4 linked regions of the Arabidopsis thaliana genome follow. The protein of the gene in region 1 interacts with the protein of each later gene in a pairwise test. Each region holds a gene or a part of one and is shown in the gene's direction. Other genes may lie near its edges.

Region 1 (3,729 bases):
AAGCAGCAAAACAGTTGGATAGTTTTTTTCGGTTGTCTTCTTGATTGGTCTTCATTGTCACAGGATGTTGCTATATTTGGGGTTTCAAGAAAGAATCTGACAGATGAAGACCTCAGATCCATCATTGCATCAACGCTGACTTGCCGTGTTGATCATCAGTATGTATAATTCTTGGTACTACCTTAAATTTGGTATCTCTGATATACGGCCGTGCTAGCTAAAGAATGATGCTAAATGTTCAGGGAGAATTGTGGGGGCAAGATGGATGCATTTCAGAGTAGAACATACTATATCAATGGAGGTTATAATAACAGGGATGGGATGTCCCGACTTGCCGAGAGAATGAAACAGATTGAGGTTCCTAAGTACCTTTTTTTCTTTCTTTCAATGATTACATTTTGTCCCAGAAGTAGTCCTCTTTCTGAGTTTACAACATTTTGAACAGACAAGCAAGATAGAATAAGACATTAACAGCTTTTCTTCTTCAGGGAGAATCAGAAGCAAATAGAATCTTTTACCTCTCAGTACCTCAAGAAGCTCTGGTGGATGTGGCATGCACCATTGGAGATAACGCTCAGGCACCACGAGGCTGGACTCGAATAATAGTTGAGAAACCTTTTGGTTTTAACTCACATTCGTCTCATCAGTTAACAAAGTCACTTCTCTCTAAGTTTGAAGAGAAGCAAATCTACAGGTCCTTCTTTTAAATCTAGTTGCTTTCTGCATGCACAGCTCTCAAGTTCATATTTCTTCACACTTCTGTGCCCGTTACAGGATAGATCACATGTTAGGAAGAAACCTCATTGAAAATCTGACAGTGTTAAGGTTTTCAAATCTAGTTTTTGAACCACTATGGAACAGAACATACATACGCAATATACAGGTAGTGTTTCCTTCTGATTGTTTGTAGTTGTGTATAGTGCCTGAACTTTCCTCTTCCACATTCTGGTTTGTTCACTTTGTGTATAAATGATGTTTCCAGGTTATTATATCAGAATCAATTGCGCAAACAGAAAAGTAAGGCACAATAGTTCTATTTTCACCATTTCTTTGCATGTGAGAGTAAATTGTGTTGTTTCAGCATTCTTAGACAAATCAGTAATGTTATTTTCTAATTTCCTACTGCTTTTTTTAAGGTTTTCTGATGGATATGGAATAATACGGGACATAGTGCACAGCCATATACTTCAGACAATCGCATTACTTGCCATGGAACCTCCGATAAGTCTCGATGGTGAAGATATCCGAAATGAAAAGGTCAACCTGTACTGTAAAGAACAAAATCGTCTTATGGTATATATGTAAGTTGTGTACTCTTGTTCTGTCAAGTGACTTGGTGACAAACCTGCTTCTGCAGGTGAAGGTTTTAAGATCAATTCGCAAGATAGACCCGCGTGATGTCATCCTTGGCCAGTATAAATCCAGTTCCCGAGACAAGAACGGTGTGATCTTGAACGGTGTAGACCCTACATATTGTGCAGCAGCCTTGTATATTGATAATGCACGTTGGGATGGTGTACCTTTCCTTGTAAGAGTTGGCACTGGCCTCATTAAACACAGGTAAGAATAATTATTCCTACTCATAGACATATCCAACTGTCATAACAATTGATTGGTGTGCCTTAATGTTGAAAGAGTGGAGATTCATGTGCAATTCCGGCATGTTCCTGGAAACCTATACCGAGAAAATATTGGAATAAACATAGATTTGGGGACAAATGAGCTTATTCTACGTGACGAACCTGATGAGGCCATCCTGGTGAAAATCAACAACAAGGTTCCTGGTTTAGGTCTTCAGCTAGACGCTTCTGAACTTAACTTGCTCTATAAAGACAGGCAAGTTTTGCATTCTCATCTTTGTTCCTACACATTTTAAAAATCGAACTTTTGCGCCTTATGGTTGGTTGAATTGTTGGATCAAACCTGTAGGTATAAAACCGAAGTACCAGACTCATATGAACACCTAATTCATGATGTAATTGACGGAGACAATCATCTGTTCATGAGAAGCGATGAGGTTGCAGCAGCATGGAACATTCTTAGTCCGGTTCTAGAAGAGATAGACAAGCATCACACAGCTCCGGAGTTGTATGAATTTGGTGGACGAGGACCAGTTGCGGCATACTATCTTTGGGCCAAGCACGGTGTCCCATGGGCAGATGACTGAAGAAGAAACATAGATGCAGCAACAAACAAATGAGAGTGATTCTGAATGGTTATTGTGAAGTGTGTTTGTTTAGCTTGAAGCTGTGCCATTCCCTGTAGACTGTACATATGTACACATGTATGTCATGTTGCTATATGAATGTCCATCATGGTGGGGTCCATAATAGTGTTGAAAAGTCTCCAAAGCCACCCAAAGGAAAGAAGAAAGTCTGAGAGACTTTTAGATAAGGTCATGTTGTTAGTCTTCCCACTAGAGGCAATAATTATATCTTCTCCACCAATTCCTCCAGAAAATTCTTCCAGATGTATCATGTGTTGATGATCAAAGTAGGATGAAAATGATGTAACTAAAGAGAAACATTTTCATAGGGGAAGGAAGAGAGAGCGGTTCAATGGACAGAGACAGAAAGAGGGTGAAAATGGAGAAGGAAGATGACGAAGAAGAAAAGATGGAGAAGTTGTACACAGTGCTTAAAAACGCAAGGGAAATGCGGAAATATGTCAACAGCTCCATGGAGAAGAAGAGACAGGAAGAAGAAGAAAGAGCAAGGGTTCGTAGATTCCCTTCGTTTCAGCCAGAAGATTTCATTTTCATGAATAAAGCAGAGGCCAACAACATTGAAAAAGCAGCTAATGAGAGCTCTTCAGCATCCAACGAGTATGATGGCTCTAAGGAAAAGCAAGAAGGATCTGAGACTAACGTTTGTTTAGACTTGAATCTTTCTCTGTAGCATACATACATACAAGAGACAAAGAGCTCTTCAGTTTCTGTATAAGCAACAAAGAATGTTAGTAACTACGTACCAAAAACAAATGTGTCATGGAATTCTAGTTTTGCTTGAAGATTGTTCATCACTTCTTATTAACCATATTGAAGAAAATGCTACAAATGCACATTGATAACAAGATCAGTAAAAAAATATATATATATTAGCAGAAGAACTTAGAGAGAACTCTCATCAATGGCTGAGCAAGTTCCTATGGTTTGCGAGAATTACTCCATTTTGCCAACGCTCCAACGAGGATTGATAGCTAAGCCTAAGATTAAAAAAAAACATTCTGCTTGGCATTTATTGAATCTCACCAGTAATCTTTACAGGAACACTCTCCGTTTCTGAAGTGATGGAATCTGTTTGCATCTCTTAGAATGATCTCCCTCTCTTTCACCTTAGAGATTATTTTTATTGCTGTGTGGCAATCACTACAAACTCTAAGGTTCTTCATGACTCGGATGGGTATTCCTTCAGATAGCTTTAAAAGAGCATAAGCTACCGCTAGTCTCTCGCTATGATATTTCAGGCTATTGACTTTCTCTTCCTCGTCTACATCGTGCAATGCATAGCTGCAATCAGGATTATACCCGGCTTCTCTCAATAACCCATCCAATTCATCCAGTATCTTCAAAATAGATTCCTGCTCGGGATGGCTATTAATACCCCCACGAGTGAATGCATGCACCTTGTTCTCGACTTCAGTCCAGCTACAACCTGGTGATTTTCTTACCAACCTAGTCTTCATAAGTTTTCTCAGTTCTGCAACGTCAGCCCACCTACCTTGAGATGC
Region 2 (5,506 bases), on another chromosome or scaffold:
TTTTACATTAGTTTCGGTATTTTCACGGAATAAATTGATAGCTAGAACCTTTAATCTTATGGTTTAAAATGGTACACTCATATACACAGTTAGGGTAGTGGAGTTAATGCTAGTAATTAGTAACACAATATTTTTTGGTTCGTTATGGTTTTGGTGTTAATTGTGTTAATGTCATAATGCTTTAACGCTAATTTGTTGTTGGCACAGATATTTAAAACTAAAAAAAGCAACCTAGTTATTGCTGGCTATCTTTTTAAATTGAGAAGTTAACATCTTGTCAAGTGAATCGTGTAATATTGTTATACTCTAAAGATCGATATTATTGTGTCTACCAGTCAAAACATGTGTTGGAGGGAAATTTTATTTGTAGGTTCATCATATGTCAGGAACATTATTGTCATGTTTCTGTAAGCTTTCTGACATTTAAGTTCAGATTTTGACCATAAGTTTTGATCATAAATGAGAAAAGAACAAAGTTAAGTTTAGTTTTGCGAATGTTAAAAAAAATAAATATCTTATTTGCACTTTTTGAATTATTTACCAAATATAAAAACCAAGATGGTGTTTTTTTTGTAATACCAAAAAAGAGAGAATTTTAGCTACGAGAGAATGCAAAATTCGGATTTGTGATCCGTTTTATTGAAAAAGATTTTAGTTTCATAGAACATATATCAAGTAGTATACAAATTGAAAAATAGGGTCTGATAGATCCGAGACACTTGGGTATTATCACCTAACTTTTAAACGTTTATGCCAGTTTTTTGACAAACAAATCACGAAGTATTTGAGGATAAATACAGTATTTGTTTATGTTTTCTATCTTTTTTTAGGAGGATGAGTTCATTGGTTTGATCTTAAACAATTGAAAATTTATAGGTTACCACCAATTTTGCGATTTTTTTTCTTCTTCTATACTTTAGATTTAAGTTTATATATAGATATTTTCGTTTGATATCAATATGGGAAGCCCACAAAGTTGGGGAGTTTAGTGGTACCTTTTTTTTTGGTTCACAATTGCATACGAATATTGGGGAGTTTAGTGGTACTATTGCATACGAATATTGGAGATACGAGAAAGGGGTGGAAAAAATTGATGATAAATTGAGCCCAAGTAGGAAACAATACACAAGGCCGTATATAAAGTTGGCATGTTGGGTTCAATACATGAGGCCGTCTTTTTGTTCGGCCGCGGCCAGTGGTGAACACTGAATATGGCCTTTTGAGACTCCGAGGGGACAATTATAATCCAACACTAAAATACATCTCTAAACTCTATTTGCCAACTAATTTCTTTATTTAAAATACGTTTCAATCTAATCAAAACAGATAAGCCTGTTAAACACAATTTTGATTTCTCGAGACTACGAATAGGTGGATCTATTTGTATCATAACATCATAACATATAAATCGATATTTAAAATTTTGAGTAATAAATTTGATGTTGGTCTCTAACAATTTGCGGGTAATTTCTTGATATTTTGGACATCACCCGAACATATTAGCTCATTACACACCAATTTCTATAGAGGCAACATATTTTCTTATCATTAAAGTTGACAGCTATTAGAGCCCTTAATCACGTTTGATTTCATATCTAATTCCAAATTATATGGATATAACAACAGCATAGCATATAAATTGATATGTGTAGCATTAGGTTATATCTTTGACCGGGAAATGCATTGGCAGGCCATTATACTGGGAAGATGCATTCGCATATATATTAGTAGGTGTACTTAGTAATCGTCTACTTGACATAATTAAAATTACCGGTCAAAAACACGAGATATATAGGAACTCATATTGTGTGGATATATATATTAGTTTACATGTGTATTTATGGATAAGGTTATAACGAATTCAACAAATTCTCAAGGTCCTATGAAATTTCAACAAGTATATTACAGTTTTTTTTTTATATATGGCTTTTCTTCTCCCATGTTTCGGCTGTCTACGAAGAGACATTTGGCTTTTCATATTGGGATATTGAAAAATACATTTTCAACGTTTTATATATGATTTTGTGTGGGTGAAATTAATACTTACAGAACAAAAGAGCTCATGCACGTTTAGTGTTATTTTGGCGGCTGTTTTTAAGGATTTGCATATATTCTTTCCCACGTATTGAATTCTATAAATGACATAATAATCAAACTTGTAAAAATAATAGAATGAATAGTTTATAGTCTTCCAAAATTCGATTTCTGTTGTAGTGGAATCGCAGACATTTTCTAACTTATGAATGTTGTTATAGGACTTCTTTAAACCTTGGTTGGATATACCCAAATAAATATAAAGTTCACACGAAAAAAACTTGGAATCACATCCAGGAATATTCACCACTGGATCAATACTACTATACAACAAGGGAAAAAAAAATATTTAACTTGGGAAGGTATATACTTATTTTATAAACAAAAGCAAGATTCGCCTTGTAATGCGACGGCCCGACTTCTCTCTTTCAAATAATGATCCTTGAGAAACCCTATAGAGCCATATATACGTTGTCTTTATAAAGAGACATAACTCATCTCTTCTTGACTAACTTTATAGTTAAAGTTATCAATTATTCGAAAACAAAGCTGGTTTTTTGTTTTGTCCCTTAAACCAGCATGATCAAGAACTTAAGTAATATGAAGAATGACAATCAGAAACGTGAAAAATGTTGCGAGTACATCGAAGCTCTCGAAGAAGAACGTCGCAAGATCAATGTTTTCCAACGCGAGCTTCCTCTTTGCGTAGAGCTCGTGACTCAAGGTACATACATATGCATTTACATTTCATATAAGATATAATGAGTTTATATATATGGATTAAATGTTAGATCTAAAGATTTTTAAAAAATGTTTTATGGAATTTAGCGATTGAGGCGTATAAGAGGGAGATATCAGGGACGTCGACGGATAACTTATACGGACAGTCGGAGTGCTCAGAGCAGACCACCGGAGAATGTGGGCGCATCTTGGATCTGTTCATACCAATCAAACACTCTTCGACCTCCATAGAAGAAGAGGTTGATGACAAAGATGATGATGATGAAGAACACCAGTCTCATGAAACCGACATAGATTTTGATGACAAGAACATGAAATCTGAATGGCTCAAGTCTGTTCAGCTCTGGAACCAATCCGACGCAGTTGTTTCTAATAATAGACAGGTAAGATTTTTATTTTATTTTATTTTTTCTTTGTTTACATTTGTGTTTTTGTTTGCCTTGAATTACATTTACTGTATTGTTTCCAAACCAGCCTATTGACGTTGTTAATTGTTAACGTAAAGACTAAACGCATAACCTTCTGTGTACTTTATGCGATTGTGTTTGTAACTTACAACTTCACAAATAGATTATTCTTTTTTCTTCCAGTTTTTGTTTTTTTTAATAGACCGAAAAAGGATGGGTGCACAAAAAGATAGTAAATTGCTCACAAAAAGATTTTGTTTTGTAATTTAAGTTTCTAATAGCATTTTGCGTATTCAGGATCGCTCACAAGAAAAGACAGAGACGCTGGTAGAGTTGATAAAAATAAACGATGAAGCAGCGAAGAAAAACAACAACATAAAATCACCGGTGACTACTAGCGATGGTGGCAGTGGCGGTGGCGGTGGCAGAAGAGGGCAGAGAAAGAATAGGCGGTGTTGGTCGCAAGAGTTACACAGACGCTTCTTGAACGCTCTTAAACAACTTGGTGGCCCTCATGGTGCGTTTCTTGGTTTTAAGTTAAAACATATATATCAGTAGTCATATCTTTTTGTTAGGGCTCATGAAGTTTAATTAATTCGTAATGACCTTTTTGTTCACTAAATTTTGAAGTAGCTACGCCGAAACAGATAAGAGATATAATGAAGGTTGATGGGTTAACAAATGATGAAGTCAAAAGTCATTTACAGGTTAGTAAATCATATTCCATGAAAAATACATGTAACTAATATGTAAAAGGTATATATTAATTTCATCATTTTAGTTACAAATGTTTTTATAATTTAGAAGGAAAATAATATTTATTGTTTCATATTTTTTTTAATGATAAATAGAAATATAGGCTGCATGCAAGACGGCCAAGCCAAACAACACCGAACAACAGAAACTCTCAAACGCAACATTTCGTGGTGGTTGGTGGAATATGGGTCCCACAGACTAACCATTCAACGGCCAACGCAGTCAACGCCGTCGCATCGGGTGAGACCACCGGGATTTATGGGCCTATGGTCAGTTCGTTGCCGTCCGAGTGGCCGAGGCATTCCAATTTTGGTAGGAAGATTTCGGAAGATAGATCAAGATGCTCTAACAACGGATTTTTTCGGTGTAGCTCACCAGCTATGTCTTGTTCTACTCGTACAAAGACGAAAGATGCAAAAATAATATCATAAATTTAATTTTTGATTATTTATTAAGAGAAAAAAGTTATAGACATTAATATTGTGAAGAGTGTATATATATAGATGTTGGAGCGTGACTCTATGTTATTTTTAGTTTCTTGGTTTTTTTCTATTAGCCGATGATATCTTTGATCAAAGATCCATATTAGCTAATGCATACTATATTTTTTTACGTCGTGCAATATGCATATCGATGATAATAAGTTAATAACACAAAATTATTAGATTACTAGTTGAAGAATCGTATATAGAAAGAATCGTAATTATATGTAGAATGATGGTATATTATCAGCATATATTTTTATAGAGGCTTTAGCCACCAAAATTAATAAATGTCAGTCACAAACTCAAATTAATTAATTTCGTCCTTAACATATGTATGTCGGCCAGGTTTCTATTTGCTATAGTAATATAAGATACACAGAAACATTGTAGAAATGTAAAATGTCTTCGAAAACAGAAGAAAAATACATATATAAACTTTTTTGAATGAAAATAAAAAAAATTATGCCATACAGAAGGATCGGAACTCGGTAGAATATGCCGGAATCTGAAGAGCATAATCTGCAAATATGTTTTTCAGGTTAAACTTTATTCTCTTGTTGCTTGTACTGGATATTAACACAAATGTGCACGTTGGGCTCCTTCTCGTGGAGTGAATTATTCTTTATTTGTTCCTTTTACTTTTGTAAATACAATTTTTCCATATAAGTATATAACTGTGTAAATATTAAACCCAAAATATGTTAAAAGACAAGTTTTTTTGTAACTTAAGGGCAAGAAACAAGGTGTAAAGCCACATGAAAATTGCTGACCATTCTAACTCTCGACACTACTATACAATTAATATCTCTTGACTTGTACTCATTCTCTATAACAACAACAATTGTTGGGTTTTCTTGTTCGCTCTCACTGTTGTTTATTAAGTGTTGTTCGTTTGCGAGGTTTTCTGAATCAATAATCAAAATGATTTCGATTGATAAGTTATCCTTTAATCAAAATTTCTTGGTTCCTATGGTTTCATCACCTCAAACATAAAAAAATCATACCAAGTTGTTAAATATCTTTAAAAATTCCTACCAAGTTACTAAATAAGTGTTCACAAATTTAGGGATCCTTTCATGTGAC
Region 3 (5,865 bases), on another chromosome or scaffold:
ATATTCCGCGTAGCTTCTCAGCAGGAACTAGGAAGCATCACCGACACTGACACACCACCCCATTGGATCGATGCTTCAATTTTTATTTCCAGTAATACATTTACATGAGTCATCAAGGTTGTTTTCTCTTCCAAAATATAAAAAAGTTCATCATATACAGGTTCATACATTTTAGATGCTTTGGGACAAATTTAAAAGATATATTCCTTAATATCATAATTTTTTTATATACTTCTTCTTTTAACAAAAACATTAGGTGCCTTTTGAGTATATACAAAAAACAAATTGTGTCCATCTTGTATAGATTTTTTTTTTTGTGCCCTATAAATTTATGTATATGTAGTTATGTACCCTATAAGTTTATATTATCGGCCCCTATAGTTAAGCCGGCATTGACTATATATTTTTATGGAAAATTTAAGAGTTTTCTTTTTGTTTTGTTATTTTTCTTTTTAATTGTTTCATCAAGTTAAGTTTCGTTTCCAATTCCTCTTAGAATGATTTTTATCTCTTGTGTTAGGTCACGCTTTACTAGTTTACACTCCTCTTTAGAATGATTTATCTCTTGTATGAGTTTTGTTTTTGTCTTTTTGTTAAGAATTTAAATATTCCACTAAAATGAAAAGTGTTAGGATTTTCATGAAGTAAAGCCTGAAGTTTTTGGTCTTATGGCAAAAAAAGAAAAAAACATGAAAACAAAAGAAATCAATCCATTGACATCAACAAAACAAATTACGTTTTTGAGTCATAAAGTGATATAACAATTTTGAATAACTACCAATATATATGTCCTCAATCTTGTGTGAGTTCAAGGCTTTATGGGTTACATCGTTATACTTAGTTTATGTAAGAAATTTGTAAATTTGAATGGGTTAAAACTTCTGATCTAAATAACGAATTGGTAGGAAACTTTTTTTTGTCTTGTTAATATTTGATGGTTTTAGCCAAAGTAATACATAAAATAATTATTTAGTGACCAAAACTTATCGCATATTTGATGATTTAAGCCATAGTAATATGATTTGTATTAGTGACGTTGATGGTTTAATATATGATTTAGTGATACTTAGTGAACGAAAGATACAAATTAACATATGGTTTACCAAAGTAACGCAGCGTCACTAGTGACCAAAACTTAGCGTATATTTGATAGTTTAAGTCAAAGTAATATACTAATATGATTTGTATTAGTGACGTTGCATTGTCACTATCCAAGTTTACACTTATATGTTATTTTTTGTTAAAAATATATATTTATAGTTAGAATTCTATATTCGATAGCATTACCGAAAGTCGAAAATTTAATCATAGGAATCATTGCCAATCGAAATAATGCTAATTAAATTTTATTTCATATAAAAATTTGATGAATAAACTATTCAACGACTATCCTTAAAGAGTTTTTTTTTTTTTAATAGTCAGCTAACGCATTTCACCGATTGTATTTGTAGCCTTGTAGGTAGAGTCGAATTTCCGACGCGACTAGAATGCTAGCATAAGAGACTTCACCACTTTGTTACGAAGCCAAGAATCTTCTTGTTTTAAAAAAAAAAATCAAGACAAAATTGTCGTCCCTCATATCTATATTCAATTCATTTCAAAACGTTATTTATGTCTTAAAATTTGGAACTAGGCCACAAAGAATGACTTTGGTCATCACAAAATTATAAATTTAATAAAAATTTGGACCACTATAGGCATAGCTATTGCCTATTATAATCTCTACTATTACTTTATGATTTATCTACTATTCCGAAAGTGTAATTGTTTAATACGTCATCACATTGCAGCAATCCACACACAAGCCACGTCATTCATATGCCGTTCGTATTTGCTTTCGTCACTTCCTTCCGTCATCAATAGTGACGGCTATTTCTTAATATTAATCTTCTTGACTTAATGCTATTTCGTGACGGCATTAATTGGCATATCATTACAAGTTATTTACACCTAAGAAACAAATTAAAACTATTGAATAATATGATGTAAATAAAAATATATTAATGATGTGATATATCGCAGTCAAATAAAAATAGTGATTTTGATGAGAAAAAAAATATGTGTTTATCCATAGATTTGTTAAATTAGAGAAAGATGTGGAAAATGTTAGTGAGTGGCGTCATACACGGAGAACCTTTGGCATCATACACGGATTTTTCTAGTCTTTGTTTTCTATTTGTCAACTTTCATTTGAGTCTTTCTTTATACACTTTATTAGACCATGTTTTTAATTCTAATGCTTATTAATTCATATTATTAAATTTACAAAAAAAACTATTATATTAACTCTCTTGTTTCCTCTGTATCTTCCTTCACATTGAAGCTGTCTCTTTCTTTCACCATCACTTGCACCTGTTGTGTCCTGTTTGTTCTCAATTTCATCATCATTTATCCTTTATATACCTCTCTTTCTTTCTTGACTTTTCCTCTAAATTCTCTTCCTTTTTATCTCTTTGATACATCTCAATTTGGTTCTTTTGCCTTCTCTTTGATCTTATCTCTTACGATTGTGCAGATCTCAATCTCTATATCCTTGGTTGTGTCAGATTCTCTTAGGGTTTATTTTCTCTCCCAATTTTGTTTGATTCCTTGTCCAAAGTTTCTTCCTTTCCTTTTGACTTTTTTTTGTGGTACATTGAATCAGAGGTGTAAGAGTAATAGTTTCATAACTCAAATCCCCAAGTGTACAAATTTTCCTCTTTTGGTTCTGGGTTTGGTTGATTCCTTGTTAGAAATGTAAATTTAGGGCTTTTGTATCTGAAACCGATCTTCAGACTTGTGTAATCTTCTTGATCTTCATGCAAGATTGATAATTCTACAAGAAGAAGAAGAAGAGAAAATGGCTACTTTGACTGAGCCATCATCATCTTTGAGTTTCACATCTTCTCATTTCTCTTATGGTTCTATTGGGTCCAATCACTTCTCATCAAGCTCAGCTTCTAATCCTGAAGTTGTTAGTCTAACCAAACTCAGCTCCAATCTTGAGCAGCTTCTTAGTAATTCAGATTGTGATTACAGTGATGCAGAGATCATTGTTGATGGTGTTCCAGTTGGTGTTCATAGATGCATTTTAGCTGCAAGAAGTAAGTTTTTCCAAGATTTGTTTAAGAAAGAAAAGAAAATTTCGAAAACTGAGAAACCAAAGTATCAGTTGAGAGAGATGTTACCTTATGGAGCTGTTGCTCATGAAGCTTTCTTGTATTTCTTGAGTTATATATATACTGGGAGATTAAAGCCTTTTCCATTGGAGGTTTCGACTTGTGTTGATCCAGTTTGTTCTCATGATTGTTGTCGACCTGCCATTGATTTTGTTGTTCAATTGATGTATGCTTCCTCTGTTCTCCAAGTGCCTGAGCTAGTTTCATCTTTTCAGGTGTGTGAAAAGTCTTCTTTTTTCTTCGGTCTCTTTGTTTCTTAATTCATAGACCTCAATGAGAACTAAAAGGTTTGTGTGCTTGCAGCGGCGGCTTTGTAACTTTGTGGAGAAGACCCTTGTTGAGAATGTTCTTCCCATTCTTATGGTTGCTTTCAATTGTAAGTTGACTCAGCTTCTTGATCAGTGTATTGAGAGAGTGGCGAGGTCAGATCTTTACAGGTTCTGTATTGAAAAGGAAGTTCCTCCCGAAGTAGCAGAGAAGATTAAACAGCTTCGACTTATATCCCCGCAAGACGAAGAAACCAGTCCCAAGATTTCGGAGAAATTGCTTGAAAGAATCGGTAAAATTCTCAAGGCCTTGGATTCAGATGATGTTGAGCTTGTGAAGCTTCTTTTGACTGAGTCAGATATCACTCTAGATCAAGCCAATGGTCTGCATTATTCTGTTGTGTATAGTGATCCGAAAGTTGTTGCCGAGATTCTTGCTCTGGATATGGGTGATGTGAACTACAGGAATTCCCGGGGTTACACGGTTCTTCATTTTGCTGCGATGCGTAGAGAGCCATCGATCATTATATCGCTTATCGATAAAGGCGCCAATGCATCTGAGTTTACATCTGACGGACGTAGCGCAGTTAATATATTAAGAAGACTGACAAATCCAAAGGATTATCATACCAAAACAGCTAAAGGGCGTGAATCTAGTAAAGCCAGGTTATGCATCGATATCTTGGAAAGAGAAATCAGGAAGAACCCCATGGTTCTAGATACACCAATGTGTTCCATTTCTATGCCTGAAGATCTCCAGATGAGACTGTTGTACCTAGAAAAGAGAGGTAATTGACTGAAAATTACTGAATTCTTCTGTATCTTTACTACATTTTTGTTAAAGCTTCTACCTTTTTTGCAGTGGGGCTTGCTCAGTTGTTCTTTCCAACGGAAGCTAAAGTTGCTATGGACATTGGTAACGTAGAAGGTACAAGTGAGTTCACGGGTTTGTCACCTCCTTCGAGTGGGTTAACCGGAAACTTGAGTCAGGTTGATTTAAACGAAACTCCTCATATGCAAACCCAAAGACTTCTTACTCGTATGGTGGCTCTAATGAAAACAGGTAACAAAAAGCTTGCTCTCTGTAAGTCTACCCTTCATCTTCTTATGTTGCTCATTTTCTCTTGACTGACTTCATTACCGTTTCACAATGCAGTTGAGACTGGTCGAAGGTTTTTTCCATATGGTTCAGAGGTTCTAGATAAGTACATGGCTGAGTATATAGACGACGACATCCTCGACGATTTCCATTTTGAGAAGGGATCTACACATGAAAGAAGATTGAAAAGAATGAGATATAGAGAGCTTAAGGATGATGTCCAAAAGGCATATAGCAAAGACAAAGAGTCTAAGATTGCGCGGTCTTGTCTTTCTGCTTCATCTTCTCCTTCTTCTTCTTCCATAAGAGATGACCTGCACAACACAACATGAAACTGCACCATAAGTCAAATGTAATTAGATATCTTTGTTAAAAGGGTTTTTTCTTTATGGATGTTACTCAGATTTTATACAGATGCTTTAGGTTCAGTTTCAATAAAGAGAGATGGATAGATAGATGTACAAGATTAGGAGTGCTGATTAACCCAAAACGTTCTAACTATACGCAATCTTTTGTTTTCAATACAAAAATCTAATATTTAGGTTATCTACAAGATATTCTCAGATACCTGAAACTTAAACAAACAAAGACACTCCACAAAAAGTCAGGAAAAAACATGATCATTTGTCAATCATAGCTATCTCTTTACATAATTACAGAAGATAAGACTACTGGTGGCTAAGAGTAAAGAACAAAAACCATTCTTCCAAACAACCTGTAATAATGCATTCTGAACAGAACTGTCACATGTATGTCCCAGTAAGTAGATGTTAGCTGCTCTCTTTGGCATAGGGTCGGGGCAGGGGCTTGTCTGACCAATACTGTCTATCTGTCTTCTTCAACAAAGAAAGCATTTCAAGTTGCATTATATGTTAAGTGTGCCTTTCCAACATCGTAAAGCAATAGAAGAATATTGTACCAACGAAGGACTGTGCCTTTCCAATTTGTCACTCTGTTCAGTCCAGTCTAAAATTCACTTCACTGAGTTCAGTGGCGTTTCAACATTACGGAGAGCCTTTGTTCTTTCAGCTTTCTCGAAGTCCTTCCTTGTTCGTTTGTTGGCATCTATATCTATACTGATGAGTAGAGAGGTACAATCAAATCCACAGGCGGAAATACTTCACTATGCATCGACATATTCTGTGATCCTCTCCATCGCACTGAGAATTTCCAGGTTTCACTGGTTGTGAGCTAAGCAATGAGAAAATGTTATAGATCAACAGACATCTGCACTAGATTGAAGATAACGTTATATCATTGAACGGACCAGTTAATCAGGTAGATGCTTTCTTTATATTTTCCCAAGTAGCTGGACCTTCCGGGTGGGTATTGACAAAGTATG
Region 4 (4,912 bases), 7.8 Mb from region 1:
TACGTTGTCTTCAAATTGTTACCACCATTCTTAATCTCTTAAATCTATTAATGAACTGGAACTTTTGCGTGTAGGGTGAGAACCCGAAGAAACCGGGAGCGCCACACAATGTGCGCCTTTACTCAATTGCATCAACAAGGTACGGAGATTTCTTTGACGGTAAAACAGCGAGTTTGTGTGTACGTAGAGCTGTTTATTACGACCCTGAGACTGGAAAAGAAGATCCTTCAAAGAACGGAGTCTGCAGCAACTTCCTATGTGATTCAAAGCCCGGTGACAAGATTCAAATCACCGGTATGTAAACTAATTACCCAACCAACTGATCTCATACTTAAAGACCCCTTGGACTAAGTTTTCTTTTAACTCAATATACATTTCAAAACCAGGTCCATCTGGGAAGGTAATGCTATTACCCGAGAGTGATCCAAACGCGACACACATAATGATAGCCACGGGAACAGGAGTGGCTCCATACAGAGGCTACTTACGTCGAATGTTCATGGAAAACGTCCCAAACAAGACATTTAGCGGCTTAGCTTGGCTCTTCTTAGGCGTGGCCAACACCGATAGCCTTCTCTATGACGAAGAGTTTACCAAGTACCTAAAAGACCATCCAGACAACTTTAGGTTCGACAAGGCATTGAGCAGAGAGGAGAAGAACAAGAAAGGTGGAAAGATGTACGTGCAGGACAAGATTGAAGAATATAGTGATGAGATCTTCAAGCTTTTGGACAATGGAGCTCATATTTACTTCTGTGGGCTTAAAGGAATGATGCCTGGGATTCAAGATACACTTAAGAGAGTTGCAGAAGAGAGAGGTGAGAGCTGGGACTTGAAGCTTTCTCAGCTCAGGAAGAACAAGCAGTGGCACGTTGAAGTCTATTGAGCTCTTTATTTGTATTTGCTGTTTTTGATTTTTGATTTAAGAATCGTAATAAATTTGAATTTGGTGTTTTTCTACTTTTCAAACATGATATGATGATAATATCTGAAATTTGTTGGTTTTGAGAAGAGAATATTCTCAGAGAATAATCAATATATCATTTATGTAGTGACATGAGCCATCAAGAAAACGACGAAAAGGTATATACTATTAAAGTTGAGAATAATCTTATCTTACATGTGCTGCCATAAACCCAACCAAAGGTTATAGAATATTGCATAAAATATTCGAATCGCCTAACGTCATTTTAATGAAAATTTTAGAGAGTTTATAAATCAATAAATCATAATAATCATCGGTTTACCAAAACATAAGTATTTTGAATTTTCGGCTTTTGTTCGGTTATGTAGCTGAACAATTCGAATTAGTGTCATAGATTCATACCGAACCGAGATTACTCTCTTGTCTGATGTCTCTAGAATTCAAACAAATACGAACCGGTTTCGCTATCGATGACTCACACAACAGAAAATACCAATAAGAATCGGGCAACGGGTAGAGGTTAGGTCCCCGTGGACTTAATCAGTAGTGTAAGCGAGCTGCTTCGGTCAGCAAATTTTAGATCTGCCCGTAATCTGCTACGTGCAATCTAAAACGCTTCTCTAATTCTCCACTTGTACGATCGATATTGCGTCCGCATCAATTGTTACAAACTCTGCCGTTTCTTTACTTGCTGAAGACTGAAAACGTCATGACGTTTTATGCTAGTTGAGAAGGACGCTCTGAAGTTTGGGGATATTAAAAGTGCGGAATAACTTGAGGAAGGGAAGAAAACGACACTCTCTCGCTCTCTCTCTGTTCTTCATTTTCAAGAAGAGGCTCTCTAATCGTCGTCAGAGAAAATTGCAGAGAGGTAAATTTTATATATTGGTTTTGAAATTCTTAGCCTTTGATTTGTTTTTTGTTAGAATTTTGCTTTGCTGTTTTAGGATTTAGTAGGACTGTGAGAATTATAGGTTTAATTATGGTTTATCATCTTTTGTTGTTATTTATGAAAGTTGTGGATGTTCTGATTTGGTTCTGTGATTATTCTAAGTAGCTTGACTTGTTTAGTTTAAATATGAGGTTAATGATTTTGTGGGGATTTGATAGTTCTGGTTCTTGAGTTTATTTAAAATAGGTTTACCAGGATCATGTACTGACTCTGTTCTTTGGAACTTTTCAGAATTCTGCTTCGGACATTAAGCTCATGAGTCATGACTTCTTCAATCCATGAGCTTTCTGGTTTTGCTCTCTCTCTTCCTTATTCATTTTATGCTTATATTTTATTTCAAGTTGATTCTGCTTTCAGAAGATAGATTTTTACCTAAGCTTGTTTTATAGTTCATTTGGTTTGCTGTTAATGATTCTTTTGGTGGTGCTCTCTTGTTAAGTTTGGTGTGTTCTTGTCCAGATAACATTGGAAGTCATGAGAAGCAAGAACAGAGAGATTCTCATTTCCAACCACCAATCCCTTCTGCAAGAAATTATGAATCAATTGTTACAAGTTTAGTCTACTCAGACCCGGGGACTACAAATTCCATGGTAAAAATGGAAATGTTTGATCACACCTCTCTTGATTATTGCTAATGAGTTTCGTCCAAATCTTTGATTGCCTTGCCTTTGAAGCTAGCTAATTTGTATTTTTTTGCTCTTCATATGTAGCACCTTCTAGTTGATAATTTCTAGGTTTAACTACTTCTTGGCACCATGACTAATACAATATCACCTTTCTGCATTTTCAGACGATATACAAGTAACAAAATTTTGTTCATGTTTTATGTATGTGTATTCTTATAATTAAAGGCACCTGGACAATATCCATATCCAGATCCTTACTACAGAAGCATATTTGCACCGCCTCCACAACCGTATACCGGGGTATGGTGTATTACTTAGTCCACCCTACGACGATTGTTCTTATCTGGATAAGTTGGATTTATGTTACAAATCATTTCAGGTACATCTACAGTTGATGGGAGTGCAGCAACAAGGCGTTCCTTTACCATCTGATGCAGTCGAGGAACCTGTTTTTGTTAACGCAAAGCAATACCACGGTATACTAAGGCGCAGACAATCAAGAGCAAGACTTGAGTCTCAGAATAAAGTCATCAAGTCACGTAAGGTAAGAAAACTTTTCTTAAATCGTTTATTGGTTATGATATCTTACTTCATTTGTGTAAATCTTGAGAGTGTATTTGTAGCCGTATTTGCATGAATCTCGGCATTTGCATGCGATAAGACGACCAAGAGGATGTGGCGGGCGGTTTCTAAATGCCAAGAAGGAGGATGAGCATCACGAAGACAGTAGTCATGAAGAAAAATCCAACCTTAGCGCTGGTAAATCCGCCATGGCTGCTTCTAGTGGTACATCTTGAGAAGGTCCTACAAGTAGCTTTGTTGTATTTTGGCTCTGTTTGGTCTCAGATCATCTATGTCTTTTAGTGTATGATATATACAAATCTTTGTATAAAGGTATAGATAGGTTCTTGGGAAGCAATTAGGTAAACGTGAAGTGGGTTTTAGACTTGTGATTATTAAATAAAACCCACCGAGGAAAAAGGGAAATAAATAATGTCCATGATGTTTAGTTAAATACAATGCTACTGATATTGTTTTGTTATAAGAAATTTTGGTAATAAAACGAAGAATGGAAGAATCCACAAACAATGACACCAAGGTTGTGGTCTATGTGCAAGAACGGGTGGATGGTCGATATGTATTTCCTCCTCATAGAAGATTAGGTACTATATCTCTCACAGTCTCACTCCAGAACAAGAATCCTTTCTGACTTTCAAGAGGAATATAGAGCCCTATCAACGTTAGTATGGTTATCGTGTCTTGGTTGATGTTGAATACATCAAATGAGATATTGAAGCCATACTTGACTTCGATATTCAAACCTTTGCACCAAGGATCATTTCATATCTACAAGGATTCTATCCACATAATTTCATCTATGATAATGTTATGCAAGTACAATACAACCTCTAAAAAATAATAGTCAATAACTTAATAACCTATATAAATTAATAAATTCTTCGTAATCAAAATTTTGTAATTTCTTGGAATTTCACCCATTTGTAAATTAATTTTATCTCTCATTTTAGACCCAAAAAAAAAAAATCTATTGTGCCACTTGTAAATCAATAATCCAATTAGCTTGTTTTCTTATTATTTGTAGGATCGAGTTGAGGTATCAGACCAAACCTTCTGACGAAACCAGAGACGTTTGAGGAGCGAAGTACATCCACATGTGTTGCTTCTGCCTCCATTTTGTATTTATCGTTGGAAATCTATTTGGAGGGCAGAATTTTTTTGGATTTAGTTTACTCGGTTTTCTACGAAATAGCTCTCCTATTTACAGACAATTGTGCAGAGAAATATTACTTGAATGTGCAACATGATCCTCATAATTAAGAGCTTCTACTTGTATGGTATTTCGATGAGAATCTCTCCATTGTTCTCTACTTCAAATATCAAATTAGCTATCTAGGTAAAAAGTGCCGTTAGATCGAAATCCTTCATAGTAGGTGATGATCAATCTTGTATTTTGCGTATATATATACTTCACATAAGAAATAAATATATTAATTTATATATTTATTTCTGTCCAAAAATCATAGAAAGTTATAAGAAAACCAAAAAAGAATAGAAAAGAAACAATGTTTGGACAAATGGATACAAACCAATTGAAAAATCGTAACCAACCAAAAATACAGGTTGTACCCCCAGCAAAGGCAGACCTGTCTTTGTTTTCTCATAATTTATAGGGAATTTAATAAAAAAAACCCTCAACTTTGGCCAGATCCATTTTTAAACCCTGAACTATATTTTTAGTAAAACAAACCCTGAACTAAAACCTGTTAATAAACTTAACCCCACAGTAATTAAATATTAATGGGATATTAATTTCCAAAAATCGACCAAAGAACAATGACAGAATCCGTGATCCAACTGAAGATCGTCCACCTCAAAAAGTTCTTTATA

What was found.
Region 2: the proteins of NIMIN-3 (region 1) and AT3G25790 interact in binary tests that used the Arabidopsis thaliana proteins (3 or more experiments, as listed by UniProt).
Region 3: the proteins of NIMIN-3 (region 1) and NPR3 interact in binary tests that used the Arabidopsis thaliana proteins (3 or more experiments, as listed by UniProt).
Region 4: the proteins of NIMIN-3 (region 1) and NF-YA7 interact in binary tests that used the Arabidopsis thaliana proteins (3 or more experiments, as listed by UniProt).

The regions. Positions count from the first base shown.
Region 1 is NC_003070.9:3,037,078-3,040,806, reverse strand, and holds NIMIN-3 (NIM1-interacting 3), read left to right. Parts: upstream 1-2,398; 5' UTR 2,399-2,558; coding exon 2,559-2,897; 3' UTR 2,898-3,053; downstream 3,054-3,729. Other genes in the region: G6PD4 (glucose-6-phosphate dehydrogenase 4), read left to right, coding at 64-158, 243-357, 489-694, 775-883, 983-1,017, 1,137-1,293, 1,364-1,560, 1,636-1,836 and 1 more; AT1G09410 (pentatricopeptide (PPR) repeat-containing protein), read right to left, coding at 3,247-3,729.
Region 2 is NC_003074.8:9,410,583-9,416,088, forward strand, and holds AT3G25790 (myb-like transcription factor family protein), read left to right. Parts: upstream 1-2,469; 5' UTR 2,470-2,613; coding exon 2,614-2,758; intron 2,759-2,862; coding exon 2,863-3,158; intron 3,159-3,479; coding exon 3,480-3,699; intron 3,700-3,812; coding exon 3,813-3,889; coding exon of another isoform or gene 3,890-3,928; exon of another isoform or gene 3,929-4,033; coding exon 4,034-4,369; 3' UTR 4,370-4,658; downstream 4,659-5,506. UniProt on the Arabidopsis thaliana protein: Probable factor involved in nitrate and phosphate signaling in roots. Integrates nitrate and phosphate starvation responses and adaptation of root architecture, depending on nutrient availabilities.
Region 3 is NC_003076.8:18,226,480-18,232,344, forward strand, and holds NPR3 (NPR1-like protein 3), read left to right. Parts: upstream 1-2,288; 5' UTR 2,289-2,839; coding exon 2,840-3,373; intron 3,374-3,461; coding exon 3,462-4,212; intron 4,213-4,286; coding exon 4,287-4,487; coding exon of another isoform or gene 4,488-4,552; exon of another isoform or gene 4,553-4,580; coding exon 4,581-4,855; 3' UTR 4,856-5,099; downstream 5,100-5,865. Other genes in the region: AT5G45113 (mitochondrial transcription termination factor-related / mTERF-like protein), read right to left, coding at 5,798-5,865. UniProt on the Arabidopsis thaliana protein: Salicylic acid (SA)-binding substrate-specific adapter of an E3 ubiquitin-protein ligase complex (CUL3-RBX1-BTB) which mediates the ubiquitination and subsequent proteasomal degradation of NPR1 in response to SA.
Region 4 is NC_003070.9:10,803,124-10,808,035, reverse strand, and holds NF-YA7 (nuclear factor Y, subunit A7), read left to right. Parts: upstream 1-1,607; 5' UTR 1,608-1,796; intron 1,797-2,108; 5' UTR 2,109-2,139; coding exon 2,140-2,167; intron 2,168-2,336; coding exon 2,337-2,467; intron 2,468-2,728; coding exon 2,729-2,803; intron 2,804-2,882; coding exon 2,883-3,047; intron 3,048-3,126; coding exon 3,127-3,300; 3' UTR 3,301-3,586; downstream 3,587-4,912. Other genes in the region: RFNR2 (root FNR 2), read left to right, coding at 75-294, 387-886. UniProt on the Arabidopsis thaliana protein: Stimulates the transcription of various genes by recognizing and binding to a CCAAT motif in promoters.